Linked DNA regions of Nothobranchius furzeri. The protein of the gene in region 1 binds, or shares a complex with, the protein of each later gene. Links are inferred from orthologs where the notes say so. Each region holds a gene or a part of one and is shown on either strand. Other genes may lie near its edges.

Region 1 (2,864 bases):
TTATATTTGCCTGAGTCCAGATGAGCCAAGGTAAGGCAAGGAAATGCCATCAGAGGAGCCGTCTGCCTCGGCAGCATCACGTCTTCCACAGCAACTAAGGCAACATGCTCAGAGGAGGGGGAGCATAAACCCCCACCTCCACTTACTGTAAACACTATAAACACAAAAATCCATGTTTTTCTTTCTTTTGAATCCGACTTGAAAATCTAAACATGTATGACATTCTTAAAATGCTTATATTTAAAATTTGACATGTAAAATCTCCCATAAAGATTATTTTTCACGTATTAAATTGTCTTTTGACAACATTCTGAGAAATTTGTAGCCAGAGTGTAGTAAATCTTTCTTAGATGGGACAGCTGCTGCTGGCTGCAGTGTATTTAGCATCCATTTTTGTCTATTAAAAACCAGGGCTTGTCACACAGTAAAACATGCTGGAGTTCCTGAGTATCATTCAGGACACATTTTCCTTTTATACTAGGTCTACAAGATGAAAATATAGAAAATTTGTTTGTTTTTAGAAACACGTAATTTGTATTTTATGTTTTTCTTTTTTGACATCTTAACTAAAGTTATCTGAACCCAACAGCTTCATCACCACCAGATGAAACATCGCACACACTTATTTCCATCATTTTAATTACAGAATACTAAAAATAACATTACATAAAATGTCTTATTAAAAGAAACCATTGAATATTACAAAGATTGCAAATTTTGTAAAGTTAGGATATAAAATCTTTGAGCTGTGGTGCATAATTGAAAAAGAAAAAAAAATCCATAAAATGTATATATTAACTGTTCTACTACATAAAAAATGAGATGGACACACATTGCAGACAGACGAGATGAGCCATTACTGCGGCGAGCTCTCCTTTCTAAGGAAGAAAGACTTGAGATGCACAGCAGCACACACCACAATCAGCTCACGTCCTCAAATTATGCTCATGAGAGGGGAGGACAAAAAAAAAAGGGGGGGGGGGGGGCATTTACAACAAATGAGCTTGAGACTAGAGAAACAAAAGTGACTTGGTGACAGCTCCCAGTATTCTCACACTCACACGCACACACACACACACAACTGGCCTTATTCATTAACACACTTTTTTTCCTCTCCACAGGTTTAAGCTATACAAAAAAGTGAAACAAATCTGATTTATACTCAAAGCTGTTCCACCAAGACGGGGAATCTTTCAGCCTCCCAACAGCCCCTACTATGTTCTACTGTACAAATGGTCAGCCAGATCCACTGAAAGCACCCGTGGCCACGATGTGACAGAATGATATCAACATTAAAGAAGTGGTAGAAACGATACACAGCAGTAGGGATGGAGGGGGAACATGCATTATCCAACAGTGTGCTTGCTTTCTTCCTCCTCTCAGAGTTTGGAATCACCCTGTGTCAGTTCATCATGAGCCCTTGTGTTTTTTTCTTCCCAAACACCACAGAATCATGTCAGAAAATAACAACCAAAAAAAAAAAGCTTTAAAAAGTCACCGTCTGAGGACATTCAGAGCCTGTGTGATCACAGTTGTCTCTCCACGTGTGCGACGCACTGGCCGGTCATGTCCAAACAGAGGTATTTTATCAGTCTCCCGTCACCTGGGAGACGCACTGCGTCACATTGTTTTGGGTTATCAGACACAGACGGGGGAAGCAAAAGTTTGTTAGGTTTCAAAACATCAAAGAGTAACAGAATCATCGTTCTTACTGTGCAGCAGCAGTGGAGTTTTTTTGTGTGTGGCCCATAAAGATCAGGTGAGGGGAAAAGACAAGAGGACGTCTCAGACGACAACATGTCTCAGAGACGAGTGACCAGCAGAGCTACTCGTTTTTGGCTGGTCTGATTTTTTCTCCACGCTGGCTCCAGCAGTGTGAGCTTAATAATGCTGTTTAGGTTTGGAGTCCCCCTGAGTTAGTGTACGTGCCTAGTCAGGCTTTGTTTGTTAAGAAACCCACAAAAAAGAAAAATTAAGAAAAAATATCTTTTAATATCCATTACCAAGCTTAGTATGAGCTTTGGAGAGCAAGTCTGTGGCGGGGTGGGTGTTAGTTGGAGGGCGGGGGGCAGAGATCGGTCTGAGCTAAGGCAGCCATCAGAGTCGAGCTCGTGTTCCGTTAACTTTGTAGAAAAATTGCTTGTTTCTGTTGTATTAATGTGCGCTTTGTGTTGCCCAACCAGAGACGGGGGGTGTGTTGCAGGAAAATGCTTAAAAACAAACTTCTGGCATGATTCCCAAAGAGGTGGGGGGGGGGGTCTGTCTGGAAGGCGAGGGGTTGGAGTGGGTCTGGTTGGGTGCTGGTGTCGAAGGTTAAGCTGACTGTGCATCAGTCAGTCAGACAGGTAAGACAGGCAGGTGAGCTGTGATGGGGTTTTAGGCGGCGAGGCTAAATCAAAGGAGTCGTGTCCATTAAGCCTTTGTTTGGGTCCAAGCTGGCAAAGAACCTCACGTCGCGGTCCTTGTCAGACTGCAGAGTCATCACTGTCTCTTCAAGCTCGTCGGAGTAGGCACAGCCCGGCTCCTTGAAGTAAGCTGGAAGGAAGCAAACGGGAACTTCGTAACAAACATTATCCTCTTTTGCTTGTGCAATTCTGAGCTGAGGATGTTTTACAAGCTGCATGTCCCACACCGGGTCTATTTATAGATCACCTTTCTCCATGACGCTCTGTCGTAAAGCCTTGGCCACCAAAACTCGGACGTTAGCCACCGGATCAGAGGAGAGGCTGAGGAGGCTGGGCAACAGATGCTGGCTGAACTGCTCCATGGGCATGCAGTCCTCCTCAACCACGGCCTGCAGGGAGAACCACAAAACTATCAAACTCAGACAACTAGTGGAGGGGGGGGGGGGTCAACTATTGTAA
Region 2 (3,655 bases), on another chromosome or scaffold:
CATCATAGTTTATAAAACTACAAGAACCACCATCACACATTTTATAAAACTACAAGAACCCACCATCACACAGTTTGTCCAGAGGAGAAAGAAGAGGAGTACACGGAGCTGGTTTAGTTTGTGAAACACCACAATATTAAAATACAAACTGTTGTATGGTATCGGAGTGTGTTTTAGTTTCATTTGTAGTTTATAACACACGGTCTCCTCATCAGAGTTATTCCAGAGGGCGGAGGAGAGGATCAGGGTCCATGGAGCTGGTTTTATTTTTGCGTCATTTAGTAACTTGTTAAAAGTTTTCATGTTGAAGAATTTTGTACAACACTACGATGATAAAATACAAACTGTTGTATGTTATTCATCAAATATGGCTATATATGGGGAAAATAATATATATATTTAATAAAAAAGCGATTTTAATAATTATTAAACACTCAAAAGTATAGAAAACTGGTACTGTTAAGTACCAGTAGTAGGTACTGGGAGTTTGTACCATATTGATTTTAAGGTCAAAGGTTCCCATTCCTAGCCATCGCATTTAGTGAAGTGGACCCAAACCTGGTAAGGTTAAAGAACCTCACACGCAGCAACGGGAGATACAGAGCTGTGCGGCTTCTTAGCAGGGACAGCTTTTTGGGGAAAGCGCTAGCTACCGCAGGCTGCAGCTGGGTTTTAATTCAGCTTTTAATCAGAAGGAATGAAAAGCGAGGAAGTTTATATGTTGCTTTAAGTGTGAAAACAGCTGAAGGACAAACAGCAGGTTATTGTTTTTCCCACTGTGTGCTGTAATCTACATCCTCTGCTAGTGGAACGACTAATGCAATGTAACCTGGCTACCCACCTGTAGCAGTAGTTGGGTGCAGACCACACAGTGAGCACCGTCTCGTTGAAGTGCCACTTGTAGCCCTCCATCACCAGCTGGTGTGCTCGACAAATCATGTGAATATCATTGGCAGCATTGAACTGCGCCACCACGTCACTCCCAAACAAGTAGCCAGCCCCTCTGGGACTCACGCCCCACCCTGTGGTGTCTGACAGAAACAGGAAACATAGGATCACGAAGACTTACTGTTGTATGTTCAGTTGTAACACCAACATGAGTGTTTATCATGCAGACAGAGCCTGGGTTCAAACCAGCAACCCACCAGTTACAGGGCAAACTCCTCATCCCTAAGCCACTCTCACACTATTTATTCAGAGAGCAAAAGCCTGCAGATACCTTCAGGGTCTGACCACAAAAGGTCACACATGGGTCCGTCGTGGGGCACTTCCTGCTTTCTGTCAATGGTCCTGATCTGGTCTAATGTTTGGATTGAGGGAGACAAACCACCGTGCACGCAGAAGATCTGAGATGCACAGAAAACACAAAACTTTAGAGACCGACACCCAAAATAATACAAAAAGATGCAGAAAATTTAAATAACTCGTCCATATCTCACCTTGCCATCAATGATAGCAGACAGGGACAAATAGTCAAATATCTCAGTGCAGTATCTCCAAACGGTGACTGAGCCATACTTGCGAAGACACTCGTCGTAGAAGCCATAGACCTGGGTAATTTGTCGAGACTCGTGGTTTCCCCGGATTAGAGTTATCCTGTCTGGATACCTCACCTGAGGTGCCAAACAAGGGTCAAAAGATGAATGAAAATGACTTGAACTAAGAATGTCATAAAGAGTGAAAAACAAACCAAAGACCAGAATTACCTTAAGAGCTAGAAGCAGAAGAAAAGTCTCCACACTGTAGAAGCCTCGATCCACAAAGTCACCCATGAAGAGGTAGTTAGTCTCTGGAACATCGCCACCAACCTGCCAGGAAAGGTTTTATCTAGTTTATTGGTTTCAACAGTTCATGCTGTGGCTATTACATAGGCTAAGTCGGCAGTGACCCCATGTCGCATCGCTTTTCCAAACTAACACACACACACACACACACACACACACACACACACACACACACACACACACACACACACACACACACACACACACACACACACACACACACACACACACACACACACACACACACACACACACACACACACACACACACACACACACACACACACACACACACACACACACACACACACACACACACACACACACACACACACACACACACACACACACACACACACACACAAATCCCAAGCAGCATTTCCATTGACAGCTTCAATAATGCAGCCTCGTTTTCTGTGTGAAAACAGTCTCACAGGGAGTTTGTCTGAGGCGTGGTGGACCAAAAATAAAGGCTCAATATTACGATAGAAACATCTCGCCTTATTGGCCAACAGTAACGTTAAAACACAGAATACTGTAAAACTTCAATTCTTGGGTATTAAAAGGGGATGCACGTTTTCTACAATTTCTTTAACCAGTTATTGACACCTTTAACGCTTAAAGCAGCTTTCCGGAGTTTTCCCCTTTCAGAAACAATGAATGATTTTTCTGAAATCCGTAGAAGTGATGATCTCATCATGTACTGTGATATAATATAAGCGATACATCTTTTTTTTTTTTGCCAAGCACGCCCCCTGCCCCGCAGAGCTCCGTGCAGTAGGAAACTGAGCGCCGGCCAGAACTAACCAATAGCATTAGACTACCGCTTAGACGCTTCACATTTAAGGAATACCTCGGCCGATGCTGAGTTCATGAACTTTTCACGGACAAGTTAGTCTCTAAAATATAAATATATGAAAACACAACATGACAATAATACTCGTAAAATAATTCTCTTCACAAGACTGTCCGACAACGGAAGAGTGTCTTCAGTCAGAGGCTTCTTCAGTTTGGCTGCAACACTGACCGCTACTGGAGATCCTTCCTGCCAACAGCCATTGTAATATACAATAACTCTTTGATGACTTGATTATTATTATTATTATTCTGAGCTACTACAGCAATCAATTTCCCTTTGGGATTAATAAAGTATTTTTGAATTGAAAACAACGTGTTTTAGCCGTTTGTCGGCTACAGAAGCACATATATGAACAGGAACGTGAAGCTTAAAAAAACAGAGGAACAGCGATTTTGTGTGATAAGCTTGTAGATGGTGCCATCGGATAAGAGAAATACTCCAGAAAGAAGCTTTAATGGTCAGTTAACCTTAAACCACCCCGACACACACAGACCTTTGCCCGTGCTCTATGAACCAGGGATGTACTTAGTTAAACGGTTAATAGCCGTTAATGTTGTAACCAGGTAAAATAGTTTGCCAGGTTAACTGCTTCAAGTCCTTCTGCTATCACAATATGTTAGACTAAATGAGCTCGTCACATGACCCAACAACTGTGCTCAATCATGGAGTGGTTAGCAGTTTGGGAGCATTTTATTCTTATTTCATTCCCGGAACACAAGCCTCACATCAAAGCACCGAGCCCGGCAGAACATGGTGCAGCAACCTGAACCGAGGCCAGCAACAGGTCAGTCGGTCATAACGCTCCTGCTGCGTCTGACTCCTTATTTGTCTAGTAAATAAGGAACAGTCTGTGTAATTGTTTAGTTAAATACGAGAAAACTGGTGTTTTTAAAAACCGTGGCCTCCAGAATGCACTTATGAGCGTGCAATCACAAGCAGAGCTGTGTATTTGATGTCAGACGGGCTGCTGTGCAACCGGTTTTGAATCTGACGGACATTCCAGCGGTCATCC
Region 3 (3,655 bases), on another chromosome or scaffold:
CATCACCACCACCATCATCACCACCATCATCATCATCACCACCGTTGTCATGATCGTCATCATCATCATCACCATCATCGTCATTATCTCATCATCATTATCATCATCACCACCACCACTATCACCATCATCGTCGTGACCATCATCATCATCACCACCACCACCATCATCATCACCACCATCATCGTCACCACCATCATCGTCACCATCACCATAGTCATCACAGTCGTCACCATCATCATCATCATCATCGTCATCATCACCATCACCACCATTATCGTCATCATCATCATCATCGTCACCATCATCATCATCATCATCACCGACATCATCGTCACCACCATCATCGTCACCATCACCATAGTCATCACAGTCGTCATCACCATCATCATCATCATCGTCATCATCACCATCACCACCATTATCGTCATCATCATCATCATCGTCACCATCATCATCATCATCACCGACATCATCGTCACCACCATCATCGTCACCATCACCATAGTCATCACAGTCGTCATCATCATCATCATCACCATCATCATCATCATCGTCACCATCATCATCATCATCATCACCGACATCATCATCATCATCACCATCATCACGGTCTGTATTTGTATAGCACCTACTTAGAGTTATACAACCTCCCAAGGCGCTTAACGCCACAATCAGTCATTCACCCATTCACATCCTGGTGGCGATGAGCTACATTGTAGCCACAGCTGCCCTGGGGCGCTCTGACAGAGGCGAAGCTAAACACAGGTGCCGCCGGTTCCTCCGACCACCACCGGCAGGCTAGGTGGGTTAAGCGTCTTGCCCAAAGACACAACAGCAACATTTTCTGGTCAGAGCCGGGATGGAACCTGCAACCTTCTGATTACTGGACAACCCGCTTTACCTCCTGAGCTACTGCTGTCCCATCACCACTATCATCATCATCTTCATCACCATGATCATAATTGTCTTACTGGAGGACGAGGCTGATGTAGACGAGGACATGGACATGGATTTGGTGATGGACAGACTGGTCTTATTGTCTCTTCCTGCCAAAGACAATCATTGATGTAACTGAAGTTTCAAACATCTGAGATTTTGTTACCACAAAGTTCTAGCTCACGTTTTCTCTCTGTGTGATTATTGGGGATCCGTATCCCTTCGTTTTGCTGCCGCTCCAGATGTTCCTGGTGAACGACACATCTGTCATAAGGATTCGGGCAGCACTAGCTAGAATTCTGAGACTTACCATCTCCAGGAGCAGCATTTCCTCCTTTTCTTTCTTCTGGTCCAGGAAGTCCCAGTCATGTCTCTTATGGAACTGCAGGCAGATAGGGCACATCAATCATCACACATATATTCACTATTCTGGTGTTCTCTGATCCGGTTTCTTACGGGCTCGGTCAGGTCCAGTTTGTCCAGTTCCAACACCGTCTGAAAGATTGGAGGAGTTTAGTTAAACACCAGACGTGTTACAAGTTCCCAGTATGGACTGGTCCAAGGTTGGAGTTACCTTTCGAATTGTTGCCACCACATCTTTATCTTTTTCTTCGCAGAGGAACTTCTGGACACACAAGTCGAGTTTCTGCAGCAGCAGTTTGTCCGCTGGCAGGCGGAGAGAAGACCGCAGCTGTGGCAGCAGCTGACAGAGCTTATACCTGACAAGAGGAACAGACGACCCAGTCCAAAGGGGAAAATTCAAATACACACTGGCTTTAACTCTGGGGATCTTTCAGATCCGTGTGGGATAGAAGTGAGTCCTCTACCTTACATTGGCGACTGGGTCATGCACAAGCTCTAGCGCCGGGATCACAAGGTGCTTGCTGAAATATTTCCGAGAGAAAACTTCAGCGGCCACTTCACAAACATCGAGAAACCTGAGCCGGTTCCAGTAGCTGTGACCCTGTGCCAGATCTAAGGTCAGAAAAATACAGATCTCAGCTGATGTTCTGGAACGTCTGACTTAACATACCAGAAGAGTGGTATGCAGAAGGACCGCTCTGACCTCGGAACAGTCGCTCCATCATCTCCTGCCGCTGTTCCTGTTTGCGATTGTAGCGCAGAAACGTGCAGAATGTCCGCGCAGCCTCCTTCTGCACCGGCAACACTTTCTACAGCCGAGGAGAAGCAGAGTAGAGTTACCTGTGTATCACCGGGGTTACCTGAGATATCACGCGAGGCAGAGGATGTTCACGTTGGTTGTGAGGATGATGAAGATTCGAGGGCAGAGGCTCTGGTGCAGCAGTTGTCCCGGCAGAAGTCTTGCCAGACACCTGTAACGCTGGAGCAGTTTCTCATGAAGCCTCCAACGTAGAGAAGATCCGACCTTCTGCTCCGCCGACAGCAGAGCCGACAGAAGCTCAGAGAGCTGTGGAGAACCGGGAACCAGAAGACAAGAGAAACATCCCAGGGAACCATCATAGGACAGAGGGGGTGGACCATGAGCCATGAACATGACTTGGATCAGTTTGGGTTTTCTCACCTTGTTGTCCAGCGTGAGATTCTCTCCACGAGACAGAACCACCTCAAGAGTTTCATCTAGCTGATTGCTCAGAGCATCCAAAACCTCAACAGCAGAAACAGCAGTCAGAACCGACCCAGTTCCACCAATCAATGAATCATGAGAGCAGCCTCTCACCTCCAGAGCTTCATCTTGCAGCAGCGACAGAAGCTCTTTGTGGACCAGGTAGACATTCGATCCGAGCAGCTTCACCACCTAAGAAAAGCAGTCATGTAATCTAACAACAGACAACCAATCACAGAAGGACAGGAGTGATGTTTCTCACCTGGTGGAAGCTGGAAGCAGCACTTTGTCGGACGCTGACCTCTGGGTCGCTGCAGAGACTAGAGAAAGGCAGGTAGAGGTCGGACAGGAAGTGGATGGATTCCACAAACACCACCATGGCCTGGATGAGCAGAACAGAGAAGAAACTCAGCAGCTGAAGGACCTGAGAACGGTACGGTTTGGTGAAGGCATGAGTACCGGCAGGTTGTAGCAGCAGTTAGAGCGGATCAGAGCAGACTTGGTGCCATCTGCTGGGTTCCCTTCAGTTGGAAGTCCAGAGACACACAAAACACGAAACTTCTGCAGCAAGACACACTTCTGCTCATCTGACAGGAAACCTGAAAAACAACAACCTCACTTAGAACTCGGGTTCTGATGCAGAAGCCCCCGAGCCCAGTCTCAGCCAGCCTTTACTGCTTCTCTAAGCCTAAAGCAGAACCAAACCCCTTTTGGTTTGATGGTCACCTGGGTCCAGAGGTTCTGTGGAACACCAGCAGTGAATCTCACCTGCTAGTCCACTGCAAAGCTTTCCAAACTGGAATGACAAGGACAACATGACAGCTTCATCCACTTGCGATGATCCGTCGCACACTGCCATCACCATGGGAACCAGAACATTGAGTCGGTCCTCTGAGGAAGAGGCAGGACTTCAGCATGAGCACTACCAGAAACAAAGAGTTCTGATTCTGCCCAGACTCACCGCTGTCCAACATCTCCATCAGGTTGATGATGCTGTCAAAAGCAGCCACTCGGACGCTGCTCTCCTCATCTCCAGCCAGCTCCGCCAGCTCAGGAAGAACTTTGGTTCTAGTGTCGTCCACCCTGAAGAACAGACCCAGCCCATTGAGTCAGAACATCAGAGAAAGTGTG

What was found.
Region 2: ppp4r1l (region 1) and serine/threonine-protein phosphatase 4 catalytic subunit B share a complex: the UniProt entries of both Homo sapiens proteins name them as parts of the PP4 complex. The link is inferred for Nothobranchius furzeri from reciprocal best matches to the Homo sapiens genes PPP4R1 and PPP4C.
Region 3: ppp4r1l (region 1) and ppp4r4 share a complex: the UniProt entries of both Homo sapiens proteins name them as parts of the PP4 complex. The link is inferred for Nothobranchius furzeri from reciprocal best matches to the Homo sapiens genes PPP4R1 and PPP4R4.

Annotation. Positions count from the first base shown.
Region 1 is NC_091743.1:58,792,589-58,795,452, reverse strand, and holds the end of ppp4r1l (serine/threonine-protein phosphatase 4 regulatory subunit 1), read right to left. Parts: intron 2,795-2,864; coding exon 2,653-2,794; intron 2,536-2,652; coding exon 2,390-2,535; 3' UTR 622-2,389; downstream 1-621. UniProt on the Homo sapiens protein: Regulatory subunit of serine/threonine-protein phosphatase 4. May play a role in regulation of cell division in renal glomeruli. The PPP4C-PPP4R1 PP4 complex may play a role in dephosphorylation and regulation of HDAC3.
Region 2 is NC_091758.1:11,563,449-11,567,103, reverse strand, and holds part of serine/threonine-protein phosphatase 4 catalytic subunit B, read right to left. Parts: intron 1,809-3,655; coding exon 1,707-1,808; intron 1,614-1,706; coding exon 1,440-1,613; intron 1,347-1,439; coding exon 1,220-1,346; intron 1,032-1,219; coding exon 842-1,031; intron 1-841. UniProt on the Homo sapiens protein: Protein phosphatase that is involved in many processes such as microtubule organization at centrosomes, maturation of spliceosomal snRNPs, apoptosis, DNA repair, tumor necrosis factor (TNF)-alpha signaling, activation of c-Jun N-terminal kinase MAPK8, regulation of histone acetylation, DNA damage checkpoint signaling, NF-kappa-B activation and cell migration.
Region 3 is NC_091742.1:16,618,902-16,622,556, forward strand, and holds part of ppp4r4 (serine/threonine-protein phosphatase 4 regulatory subunit 4), read right to left. Parts: intron 3,608-3,655; coding exon 3,486-3,607; intron 3,416-3,485; coding exon 3,293-3,415; intron 3,124-3,292; coding exon 2,984-3,123; intron 2,907-2,983; coding exon 2,787-2,906; intron 2,717-2,786; coding exon 2,639-2,716; intron 2,567-2,638; coding exon 2,483-2,566; intron 2,369-2,482; coding exon 2,195-2,368; intron 2,112-2,194; coding exon 2,006-2,111; intron 1,915-2,005; coding exon 1,767-1,914; intron 1,659-1,766; coding exon 1,514-1,658; intron 1,435-1,513; coding exon 1,396-1,434; intron 1,322-1,395; coding exon 1,250-1,321; intron 1,188-1,249; coding exon 1,124-1,187; intron 1,050-1,123; coding exon 975-1,049; intron 1-974. UniProt on the Homo sapiens protein: Putative regulatory subunit of serine/threonine-protein phosphatase 4.